Linked DNA regions of Caenorhabditis elegans. The protein of the gene in region 3 interacts with the protein of the main gene of each other region in a pairwise test. Each region holds a gene or a part of one and is shown on either strand. Other genes may lie near its edges.

Evidence for each region.
Region 1: the proteins of crn-1 (region 3) and idpb-4 interact in a two-hybrid assay, tested with the Caenorhabditis elegans proteins (one large-scale study listed by BioGRID).
Region 2: the proteins of crn-1 (region 3) and xdh-1 interact in a two-hybrid assay, tested with the Caenorhabditis elegans proteins (one large-scale study listed by BioGRID).

The regions. Positions count from the first base shown.
Region 1 is NC_003280.10:8,736,095-8,739,581, reverse strand, and holds idpb-4 (Intrinsically Disordered Protein, class B), read left to right. Parts: upstream 1-2,025; 5' UTR 2,026-2,058; coding exon 2,059-2,118; intron 2,119-2,172; coding exon 2,173-2,381; intron 2,382-2,522; coding exon 2,523-2,748; 3' UTR 2,749-2,856; downstream 2,857-3,487.
Region 2 is NC_003282.8:14,410,948-14,414,703, forward strand, and holds the start of xdh-1 (xanthine dehydrogenase), read right to left. Parts: upstream 1,948-3,756; 5' UTR 1,940-1,947; coding exon 1,810-1,939; intron 1,732-1,809; exon of another isoform or gene 1,711-1,731; intron 1,616-1,710; coding exon 1,525-1,615; intron 1,420-1,524; exon of another isoform or gene 1,399-1,419; intron 1,344-1,398; exon of another isoform or gene 1,323-1,343; intron 1,280-1,322; exon of another isoform or gene 1,254-1,279; intron 1,165-1,253; coding exon 1,039-1,164; intron 1,021-1,038; exon of another isoform or gene 1,000-1,020; intron 876-999; exon of another isoform or gene 855-875; intron 826-854; coding exon 630-825; intron 564-629; exon of another isoform or gene 543-563; intron 384-542; coding exon 270-383; intron 211-269; coding exon 59-210; intron 1-58.
Region 3 is NC_003279.8:3,480,150-3,483,905, reverse strand, and holds the start of crn-1 (Flap endonuclease 1), read right to left. Parts: upstream 1,910-3,756; 5' UTR 1,877-1,909; coding exon 1,787-1,876; intron 1,443-1,786; coding exon 735-1,442; intron 1-734. Other genes in the region: Y47G6A.9 (DNA-directed RNA polymerase III subunit), read right to left, coding at 2,557-2,721, 3,212-3,396, 3,678-3,756. UniProt on the Caenorhabditis elegans protein: Structure-specific nuclease with 5'-flap endonuclease and 5'-3' exonuclease activities involved in DNA replication and repair.

The DNA.
Region 1 (3,487 bases), on a different chromosome or scaffold from region 3:
TCGTCAAAGAAAATATGAAACGTAAAGCACAAAGAACACTTGGCACATTTCGGACGTCAGCGGAAGTTTGCTCAAGGCACTGTTTTTTGTCAAGTCATGGATTTACAAAAAACAATGGCGGGAACGCGAACAGGAATGTCTTTGAAATACATGTTTAGTGTGGGAAAAAGTGAAGAGTGTGTCACAGGAAGAATTTTTGAATTTCGGGGAATATTTTCATGATCACTATCAGTTTATTTGTCTAGTTAAGATAAAAGTTTAGGTTTCTCATTTAGTTCGAGTTCTTCACTAATGTTCTACTTCTAGTTGATCTGAATCAAATATTGTGTTCTTGAAAGTCACGAGTGTGCACATCGAACTCCCATTTTGATAACATTTATTTTATGGGAATCACGAATATTTTTGAACTTTTATAGCCCTGTTTATGAGATGATAATATTAAAGATTCAATCAAAAGTTTACATATCAACAACACTATATTCTAGCATAAGAAGAAGACATAAGAAGAGTTTCTCAAATAAAAATCATTTTCTTATCATATTTTATATCCAGTTTTTATGATATTTACAACGAGTTCATCAAATCAATGATTGCACCTATCAAATTTTTAAAAAAGAAAAAGAATAACATGTTTATGAATGTTGCAGATTTTCATTGTTAGAAAGACAATGAAAATTACAGTATCGGACTGATTTTAGAACATTTGATAAAAAGTATGTTCATTGTACATTGTACCGTGATGTACTTTTTCAGTCATTATGCTTCATTAGATTTAAAATGCCCCACGAGAATTGAATTTTCAGTCTTTGTAGCCCATTTTTAGTCTAATGGAAAAAGTCCCAAAACTTTGCTACTCCACCTTTAATTTTAAAAACAATTTTTCCGAATATTCTTTTTTGAAATCTTCCAGATTTGTAATATATTCCAACAATACAGTTACAACATAAACATAAACATTTTTTGCAAGAATCTCAGAGACATCAACCAACATCCCCATTTTACAAGTGTTGTTTTTCTTTTCTTATCACAACACATCTCACCAACGATCAATGTCAATTTAACAAACCAATAGTAGTATTACATAGTGATAAGCGATTTTCGATGACCCAGCTCTATCATTTTGCTGTGTTTTGTTTTGTTTACTGATCGGCTGCTGATCAAAGGGCTTGAATATTCCGAAATGATCAACTGTCAACAAGATACGCAAACATAATTGTCTGAGAGCTTCTACTACATTCAAGTCAGGGCGTATCCTAGAAAAAACATAGAAGACTGGCATTGTGACGTCCCGGTCCTCAATCGGAATGTATCAATTATGAGACATCATCATCATTGCCAATTAAGTATGTCGGAGTTGGCATACATTTTATGTTGGCATACATTTTTACGTATCATCTCCATTTCACTATCACTGGCACTTCATTCATTTTTTTGTGTCTTCTGTCTCCTTGTCATATATCCATTCCAAAAACAAAAGTGTGACCTCCGGCGAGTCACCAAATGTGCAAAAAATGTACCTGTGGGCGGTAAATATGATAAAAATAGATGAGTACTTGACGGAAACAAACGAGTAAAGGTGCGAAGACACAAGTAGTTGATGAATGAAAACACAGTTTTTTTTGCACGGAAACAAGAGCTATCTTTGAGTGATTTGATCAGCTAACTATTGTACAAAGTGATTTCATTTTTTTGTAAGTCTGCGATTTGAGGTTGAGATGGGGTATCTTTTTAGACTAAAATGGAAGAAAGAAGCCGAACATCAGTTTAAAAAGAGAAAGATGGAAGCAATAGTTGTTGATGTTCCTACCTAAGAAAGTTCATTTCAAATAAACTAAATTCCAGTCAAGATCCAAGTGATCAACCATCACCAGTGGGTAGCAAAGTTGAGCAACATGCAAATTGTTTGAATTGATCGAGACATTTTGACAGTTTTCCGCGAGTGATTACGATTACGCAACATGTTGGCCAATATCCCTTCCGGAATGGCAATGAAGCCTGTATAAAAGTGAGGAAGAACTTTGGAAACTCACATCATTCTCATTAACTCCTAATCTTATAATGACTACTTCCACTCTTGCGATTCTCCTTGCCATCGGAACTTTTATTGCGGTTTCTCAAGTGAGAATTATTTTTCAATTACTTAATATCTTCTCAATTTTTCAATATTTCCAGGTTCAATCTGCGGTTCTTCCAGTATCATCGACTGAGTTGGCAACTGTTGGAACTGATGTTTCAACAGCTTCAACTGCCATCGACACTCTAGGAAATTCTAGCTCAAGAGTGAAAAGACAAGGAGGATGTGGGTGCTGCGGTTGTGGATGTGGATGTTGTGGATGCGGAGGAGGAGGTGGTGGATGTGGATGCTGCTGTTGTAGACCAAGGTACCCAGTTTTGGAAATACTTGAAGCTATAAAAAATTTTACCAGATTGAGCATATCATGGAATTTTTAAAAATGGAAATTCAATTTTATTATATAGTTTAATTTTATTAATATATAGTAAGCTTTAACTGAAACTTCTAGATGCTGCTGCTGCTGTCGCCGTTGCTGTACCTGCTGTAGAACTTGCTGCTGCACCAGATGCTGCACTTGCTGTCGTCCATGCTGTTGTGGATGTGGATGTGGATGTGGATGCTGTGGATGCGGAGGAGGAGGACGTAAGCGTCGTTCCCTCCAAAACCTCAGAATCGATGATGCTAACCGTGCTCTCGGAATCAAGAGAAAGTCCTCAAAGGCTGACAGATGTTAAATTCAGTTGATTCTTATTTATTTTTGGCACCCAGCTACTTAACTTATTACTAAAATTAGTAATATTTATCCCAATAATAATAATAATAATAAATTTGTGTTGTCCTTAGCTTTTACGGAATAATGGCAGGTGCAAATGGTTATGTTGACACCTTGGCGGCGCCAAATGCAAACACCCAATCAAAGCATTCTCCGAGAATCTAATTTAAACGTTACTTTTTTCGTTGGGTGGTTTTTTTACATTTCAGTTGCGAGGAAAATTTTTAAAAGAATTTTTAAGTCTTAAAAAAATATGATTGAATTTGCAATTCGCGTTTTGTAATTTTGGTATTGAAAAAAAACGCGGTTGTGCTGTGGGGGTAAACAAAACTGATGAAATTCCGAATTAAAGGCAAAAAATACGCAAAAAGGATTTCACTCTCAAATTAGGGTCTCCAGAAGTCGGTACCATTTGTTTATTTTTTGGACCTCTTTTCATGTTCTCGAGGGCATTCTAATTGGATTCACTGACTCTTGGCATCACTGGGGTCCTTCAAAAAGACCTCCTCTTCATTTTTTTTTTGTTTCTTCCCATTTTCTCAATGCTCACAGCAAAAATACACAAACACACACATGAGAGCAATATGAAATTTCATTATTATTCGATTTCCTAGATCTCTTTTTTGCGACTTTTCGTGTCTCTTTGACTCTTTTTTGTTTTATGTTTTTCATACTTAAAATAAAAAGATAGGAAACCAAAA
Region 2 (3,756 bases), on a different chromosome or scaffold from region 3:
AGAAAATACAAAACTAATGAGTGTTTAATTTCACAAATCCAATTAAAAAAAAACTCACTCATAACTGACAGGTTGATACCATTTGGTGTGATGATGATCATAGGCAAACGACATGGACTCATATCCATGAAGCTTGAGCTCCGGTGGAAAAATGAGCTCTTGAGTTGGATCGTATGGTTTGCAGTCCGACATGTCACTCAGTTGGATTTTCTGAAATATTTTCATGTAATTTTTAATTTTTAATTTGTAAATTTCAAAGTAAAACCTACTCGTTTTCTTTCTCCGCCAGTGTATCCCGGTGTAGTTTCATCGGAGCCTCCGCATGCAGTTTTCTTAACTTTACAGCAATTTTCTCCCATTCCACAGCCATTTTCTTCGGTGACCTGGATAATTCGACAGTTTTTTTAGGGAAAATTACTAGAAAATGTCGGGCGCTCAAAAAACTATTGAAAAAACAAGTTTTCCGAAAAAAAAAAAGATTTAAGAGTGCTCTCCTGTTTCATTTTACTTTTTAAGTTTTGATGTGGAACATATCTAGTTACTTTTTTTTATGATACGGCAATATTGAGTGTTAAAGACAACCTTCTAGCTTTTCTTGAGCATCCGACATTTCCCGGTTCCCAACTTACCTTCAAAGTTCCACTTTCATCAACTGCAAAGCTATAGAATGCTTCAAGAATCGGACGATAACCCGTACAACGGCACAGGTTTCCTTGTAGACCCAAATTAATATCGGATATTGTAGGATTTGGATTGTTACGCAACAAAGCATACATTGCCATGACGAATCCAGGTGTGCAGAATCCACATTGGGAGCCGTGAGCTCTGGAAGCAAAACAGTTGAAGAATGGATTAGGATTATTTTGATTACAACAATAAAATGTATTATCTCAGGTTTTTAAAAGGATCCCTTGAAACAGAAGATTTTTAAAATTTCAACAACAAAAAATTGACTGTTTCTACAAGTGTTCTTAATAACTGAACATTGCTAAAAATTATTCCATAAGTTTTCCCGACAATACGAAAAATTCAACTCACTTGGCAAGTCTCTCCTGAACTGGATGAAGCCGATTCTTGGCGACACTTCCAATACCCTCCACAGTAGTTACGGCTTTTCCAAAAACTCCACAAACTGGCATAAGACAGGAGTTAGCGGAGAAATGTCTGGAACAATTAGGCTTTAAAAAATACATTCTCAAAAATTGTACTGTTTCAAGTTGGCGTTATTACCAATTCCTATTTTAAACTCCTAATACGTTCAGATAAGTAGTTCCTTACCATTTTTAAACTTCTTTTTAATTTCAAATACTTTTTTACAACGATGCAAGATATCAATTCAAGAAAAAACCCCTTAAAAGTGATGAGAATCAATATCGGCTCTGCTGAAAGAACATCTGACAAAAACCCTTGCAAAATGCAATGGAAAGCACAATGCAAAACAAATTTGTTAATAATTGTTGAAACCGAAAATATATTTTCTTACTATACTTACTATTAAAAAATAAACATTCATGCCCAACTCACTTGATTTCACCATTTTCAATATGACTAATCATTATCGTACAGGCACCACATCCTCCCTCATTGCATCCAATTTTTGTTCCGGTGAGCTTCACTTAAAATAAAATAAACTCGTAAATTTTTAGCTATTTGGGATTATATATTTACGATTTCTAGATAGCTTGTTTTGAATCAAATTCTTTTTTCGAATTTCAGATCAATTCATGCACATCACGTTTGTAAACTAGAAACACGTATATATTGCCTAGTGGAAACAGCAATTTTTTTTCCAAAAATCGAAGAACTCACATTTATCTCTCAAGTAGGTTGCCAGTGTCATTTTTGGGTCAACATCCTTTTCCTCGACGCGTTTTCCGTTTACGTAGAACACCAAGTTTGTGGCATCATACGATGAAATTTCGGTTACTTCTTTCTTCATTTTCTACTGTAATTTGGCATTTATTGGATGTTAATTCTAGAGAAGGGGTGAAACACTCTTCGAAGAAGTGAGATTAAAAAAAAAGAAGTCAAATTAAAATAATTCTGAAACTGCAACTTTTTGAATATTCGAAGTTAATTTAAACCGTCCATCAAAGTGTAATATGTTCTGGCAGTTATTGTTACTTGATGAAACATTGGAAATTTCTAAAAAATATTTTTTTGATAAAAATTTCTGCAAATGTTCGTTTTTCTGTGAATTTTGTCAAAAATTAAATCAGAAGTTCAACAAAAATACTGATAAAGGTGACATTTCACAGCGGCTGCACCAATCTTGATACTGAAAAAAAATTGAATTTCAATTTCAATGTATTAAAAAAAATGCCGAACCACTAAAATTTTACAAACTCACTTTTTTAAAACATACTCTCTAAAACAGTCGAAGTTTTTTTTTTAATTTTTTCACATTAGGTATGCAATCGGTTTAAAAATTTAAATTTACCTTGAACAAAAATAGTTTTTAATCTAAAAATAAATGTTAGTTTTCAAAATATTATCTACTAAAAAGTGCAAAACTCAACGAAACGGAGAGTTTTTGCACTAGAAACAGTAAAATGAATAAATTCAAAGTGTTATCGGCACAGTTTGAGCGGCGGTCATGTATATCGAATTGTCATGCATGGCGGGTTACCACGTGATTCGGGAATTGAGAGGTTTTTATAATATCAAAAATCGGCAGAGTTGACACTTTGGAACTTTAGATTATTAATTATGTTTATCAGTTTTTGGTTTTATTTGTTTTGATGATAATAATGTGATCTATGAGTCAGAATGTTTTGTATTTTTATGTTTTTGTCTTTTCGTGTCAGTATTCCATTAAAATATATTGTTAAACAATTAAAAAATTTCGCTGAAACAGAAAATGTTTTTTTTTTCGTTACTATTTCAATTTCTCAATAGATTCCTTTTCTGCTTCAATTTCTCCACAGAAATTTTTTTTCCAAAAAAAAATTATGGTCAAAAGTTCCATATTTAAAACCTAATACATTTTATAAAAATTCAGAACAAATAATGCCAATGGAAAACAGTGAAATTTAAAAATTACCAAAAATTTGAATTTTTATTAGAAATTCATAATTTTCATGAATTTATCTCTAATGAAATTTAGAAAATTGAAAATTTTCACTGTTCCAGTTTATCATTTTAAAAAAGTGTTAAAAATGTTTCCAAATTTCTTTTGATAAAAAATTACAGTTCCAAAATTTCTAGAAAGTTGCAATATTTGAAATGGCAAGTTTATTAAGACAAGTTTAATAAGTTACAGAAGAAAATAATATCAAACGAAATTTTTTTAAAAATTGTGACAAACAAAAAATCGGAAAAATTCTGGAAACCCGATTATTACAGAGTTTCAATATGAACCTTTTAATTCCACTATCTTAAAAATCAAATCACGTTGTGTGTGTCTGCGTCTCTTCACTTTCTTCACTCTCTCCTAATTTTCTTATCTTATCACTTATCGTCTAAAAGAAGAGTACATCGTGCAGTTTTTGTTTCCTTATCTCCCACACTAGGCTCTTGAGCTTGAATTGATTGACGCATTGAAACATAATTTTTAGAATATTTTTTGAAAAAGTATAATAAAATTAATATTCATTTAAGCTATATATTGTTATAATGTTAGTAAAACAGTAATAAAAATGGCAAAAGTTCAAAAATTGAGTGAGAGAGAAGAAGATAGACAACGCGGAATGAAGAATTGACTGAGTACAAAAATTGAAAAATGTTTTTGGGTATAGTAATTCTTTTCGTATTTTA
Region 3 (3,756 bases):
AATCGATGTGTTAACGCGCTCCACTGCTAATTCAAAAGGCTCCGCTTTCGAGCCAAAAGTGTTGTTTAAAAAATTCCGATTTTTCGGTTTTTTTCTAGAAGGAAAGTGAAATTTTTCGATTTTTTTTAAGAGAAAAAAGAAAATTTTCCATTTTTCGGTTTTTTCTAGTAGGAAATTGAAATTTTTCGATTTTTTTAGACAAAACTGAAAATTTCCGCTTTTTTTTGTCAGTTTTTTCACAAAAAACATTGAAAACTTTCGATTTATTTTTTTTCAATTTTTCGAGTTTTTTTCAGAGAAAAAATCGAAAAACGAACAAATTCATAATTTTTTCAATAATAAATCTTTAGGAGAAACAATATAGCTTTTTTTAAAGTTTGATGAGAAAAATAAAATAATTTTTCTCCAATAAATTGAAAAATGACAGGAAAATATTGGAAATTCGATTTTTTTTTTCTCGAAAAATTACGCTTGCACGCATAATGGGCCTCGTTAGCTATTTGGCGGCAAAACCGTAAGTTCAAAATTTGCTAATTTTTTATTGAATTTTTCGGCTTTTTTAGTTGTTTCCATTGATTTTCATGCCAAAATTAATTTAAAAAAAAAGGCAAAACTAAGTGAAAAATTCGAATTTATGATTTCACCGGCAAGTACCTAACGAGACCCATGGTTCGGGGCATTTATTTGCCGTGGAGCGCGTTTATAATAAAATAGGCATTTTACGAACGACGAACATTTTGATCGATATTCTCAAGAATCGTCTCAATATTCTTGTGCTGTCTGATCAGCTCAACAGCCTTCTTAGGCCCGACGCCTCGAATAGTTCCACAATAGTCACAGCCGAGAAGAATACACAAATCAATAAATTCCTCAACGCTTAGCTTCATTTCTTCGAGAGCCAAAGAAAGATTGAACTCCTTGATCGGGATTTTCTTGGCGACTGGAGCCAGGAAATGTCTGAGAAGAACCGTGGAGCCGAAGGTCAGCGCGTCCATATCCTCAGTGACAGTTCCGAATACTTTTCCAGCTTTCACGAGATGAGCACACTGAGCTTCTGCCTCGCATGGAGCCTCGACAACTGGAATTCCCATTAATCCCAGCAAACGCTTCGCCTCGTCGTTCTGTTGTTTTGTGACTTTTACGAGTCTTCTCTCGAACTTCTCCGCTTCCTTAACATCTCCCTTCTCCTTGGCCTCAGTCAGCGCTTTTTCTGCTTCAGCACGACGCTCGGAACGTTTTTCAAGCTCTCCACCCTTCATATCCGGTGGTTTTCCGTCGAAAACGTAGACAGGCTTCACTCCGTTCTCGAACATTCGAACCGTACGATTCAGCATTCCCATCAAGTGACTTGTGGTTTCTCCATCTTCACTTTGAAGCTGGGAACCATCTTGACGAACAGCAATGAGGAATTGGTAGAGGCACATTGATGCGTCGATTGCTACCTGAAAAAAAAACATTTTTTTTTGTTTTTTTGCTTGTAAAGACTCAAAACTCGTCGAAATTTAAGACATTTACCCGGAAATTTCTTCAAAATGTTCAAAATTATGTAAAAATGAGCCAATTTTAGAGCTGAAAATCTTCAAATTTTTCTGATTTATCGCGTCGAACCGATAAATCATTAATCAACAAAATAGCAGGAGATAAACGACTAAAATATTTTAAAATATGAAAATCAGACTGCGGCGCACAGAAAAGTAGACGAAATTGGAGATTTTCGCTTTAAAAAATTATTTTTTCGAATTTTTGAACCTTCAATTTTGCAAATCTAAGGAAAAAATTCCCGTACTGTTCTTCCGAAGAACGCCTTCATCTCGTTGACTTTAATCGCGGAGGGAGCATTATCAGCAATCACTTGGGAGAGTCCTTTAATTCCCATAGCGGTGTGGGGTTAGTCCTTGTGAATTTATATCTGAAATATTCTGAAATTGGGAAGTTTGTGGATTTTTGAGTGGAAAACGGGGGTAGGAAACGAATTACAGCGAATTTCGAAAAAAAAACACGATTTTCCTTTTTGTTCTCCAATTAAATAGGGTTTTTTAGGTTTTACCGAACGATATCAGTCAAATTCATGAAATTTCACCGAATTTATACGGATTTCGCCGCACTTTCCTGACGTAAAAAACGAAAAACCCCCGATATTCTCCAAGATTTCGAGAAAATAAGATGAGTATGAGATTGCGAAACGATAAATTAACAATTCTAATATATTTTTCGTTTAAAATTGATTAAAAACAATAAAATATTTGCTTAAAATTGTGTTTCTCACTATAAAAAACCCCAAGAAAGGATAAAAAATATCGGAGCTGCGTTCAATTTGGCGGGAAAACGGTGCGTTCAATTAGTTGTCCATGGAGCGCGATTGCGTAATCATTATTTGGACACTTTTTTCCTTGAAAAAACCGATTTTCTGAACCAATTGGTTAAATCTGAAGCTAATAACGAATAAAAGGGTTAAATTTAAGGGAAAATCAATAAATAAATTCATATATTTAACAATGATATTCAAAAATTGAGAGAAAAACAACAAAAACAACAAAAAAAGTGTCCGGAGATTCTTTAAATATCATCGGCATCCAAATTATCATCGCTACCGCCGTCCCCATATCCTTCTCCATTATCAAAGTAAGCCGAGATGTAATCGTTATCCTCCTCCTGATTGTCATCATCTGATAATGGATTCTCCTCCTCTTCTGCCGCGGATTTTTCACTGCCAGAGTCTTTCTGAAATTAAGATATGATTTTTTTCCAATTATTTTCATTAAAATGTAGTGATTTATCTGAAAATAGCTCCTATTTTAGTTGAAACAATTGAAAAACCACTCAAAAATCGTCTGAAAATTAGAAATTTCCAACTTTCGAACATTTTTTGAGCAGTTTTCCAAATGTTTCAACTAAAATTAAATTTTATTTTCAGAAATAAAGGGACGAGAAAACTCTAGATTCATCAAAAGATATGCCAATTTTGATGAGAAAATATTTTTTTTTTGCAATTCATGAGGAATAACCCGAAATTATTGAAAATTTGATTATTTTTCTCGAAAAAACGAAAAATTTCGATTTTTAGTTTTCTCGTCATTTTCCGTGCATTTCTTCTACTTATTTACTTCGATTTTTCTGAAAATTATTTTTCGATTTTTTCTGAAAAAAAAGTGCTAAAAAATGCCCTGTCCCATATAAAATGTCAAAAATCTGAAATTAAAATATCTATTACATCATTATCAGCCTTCTCATCGTCATCATCATCATCCTTATTCTGTGCTTCTTTTTCTTCCAATTTTTTCAACTTCTCCTTGATCATCGAATCGTCATTGGCGACTTTTCGTCGTTTTGCCAAAGATTCCTTGGATTTCGAGCTAGCTCGGCGCCAAATGAGCTCATTCGGCATATGGGACATATCTAAAATGGATTTTATGAATTTGAAAAGGTTAAAAAATCGCCTTAAATTCAGAAAAAGCGCTACAGAAAATAGAAAAATTCAATCTTTTTTTGGCTAATTTCCTCGAACTCTCCGACCAATCAGCATCTTCCAACTCCGCCCATTCCATCTGATTGGTTGAAAAATGGGCGGAGCAAATCGCTGATTGGCCGCTCTTCTCATTTAGCCAAAAAGTTGAATTTTCAAATTTTTTTTTTGTTTTTTCTGAAATTGAGACACAATTTCACCTAGATTTCCGTACCAATGCTAAGCTTTTCCCTCTTAATATTCGAATATTTATCCAAATAACGCTTAATTTCGTCGTCTTTCTCTGCTTCAAT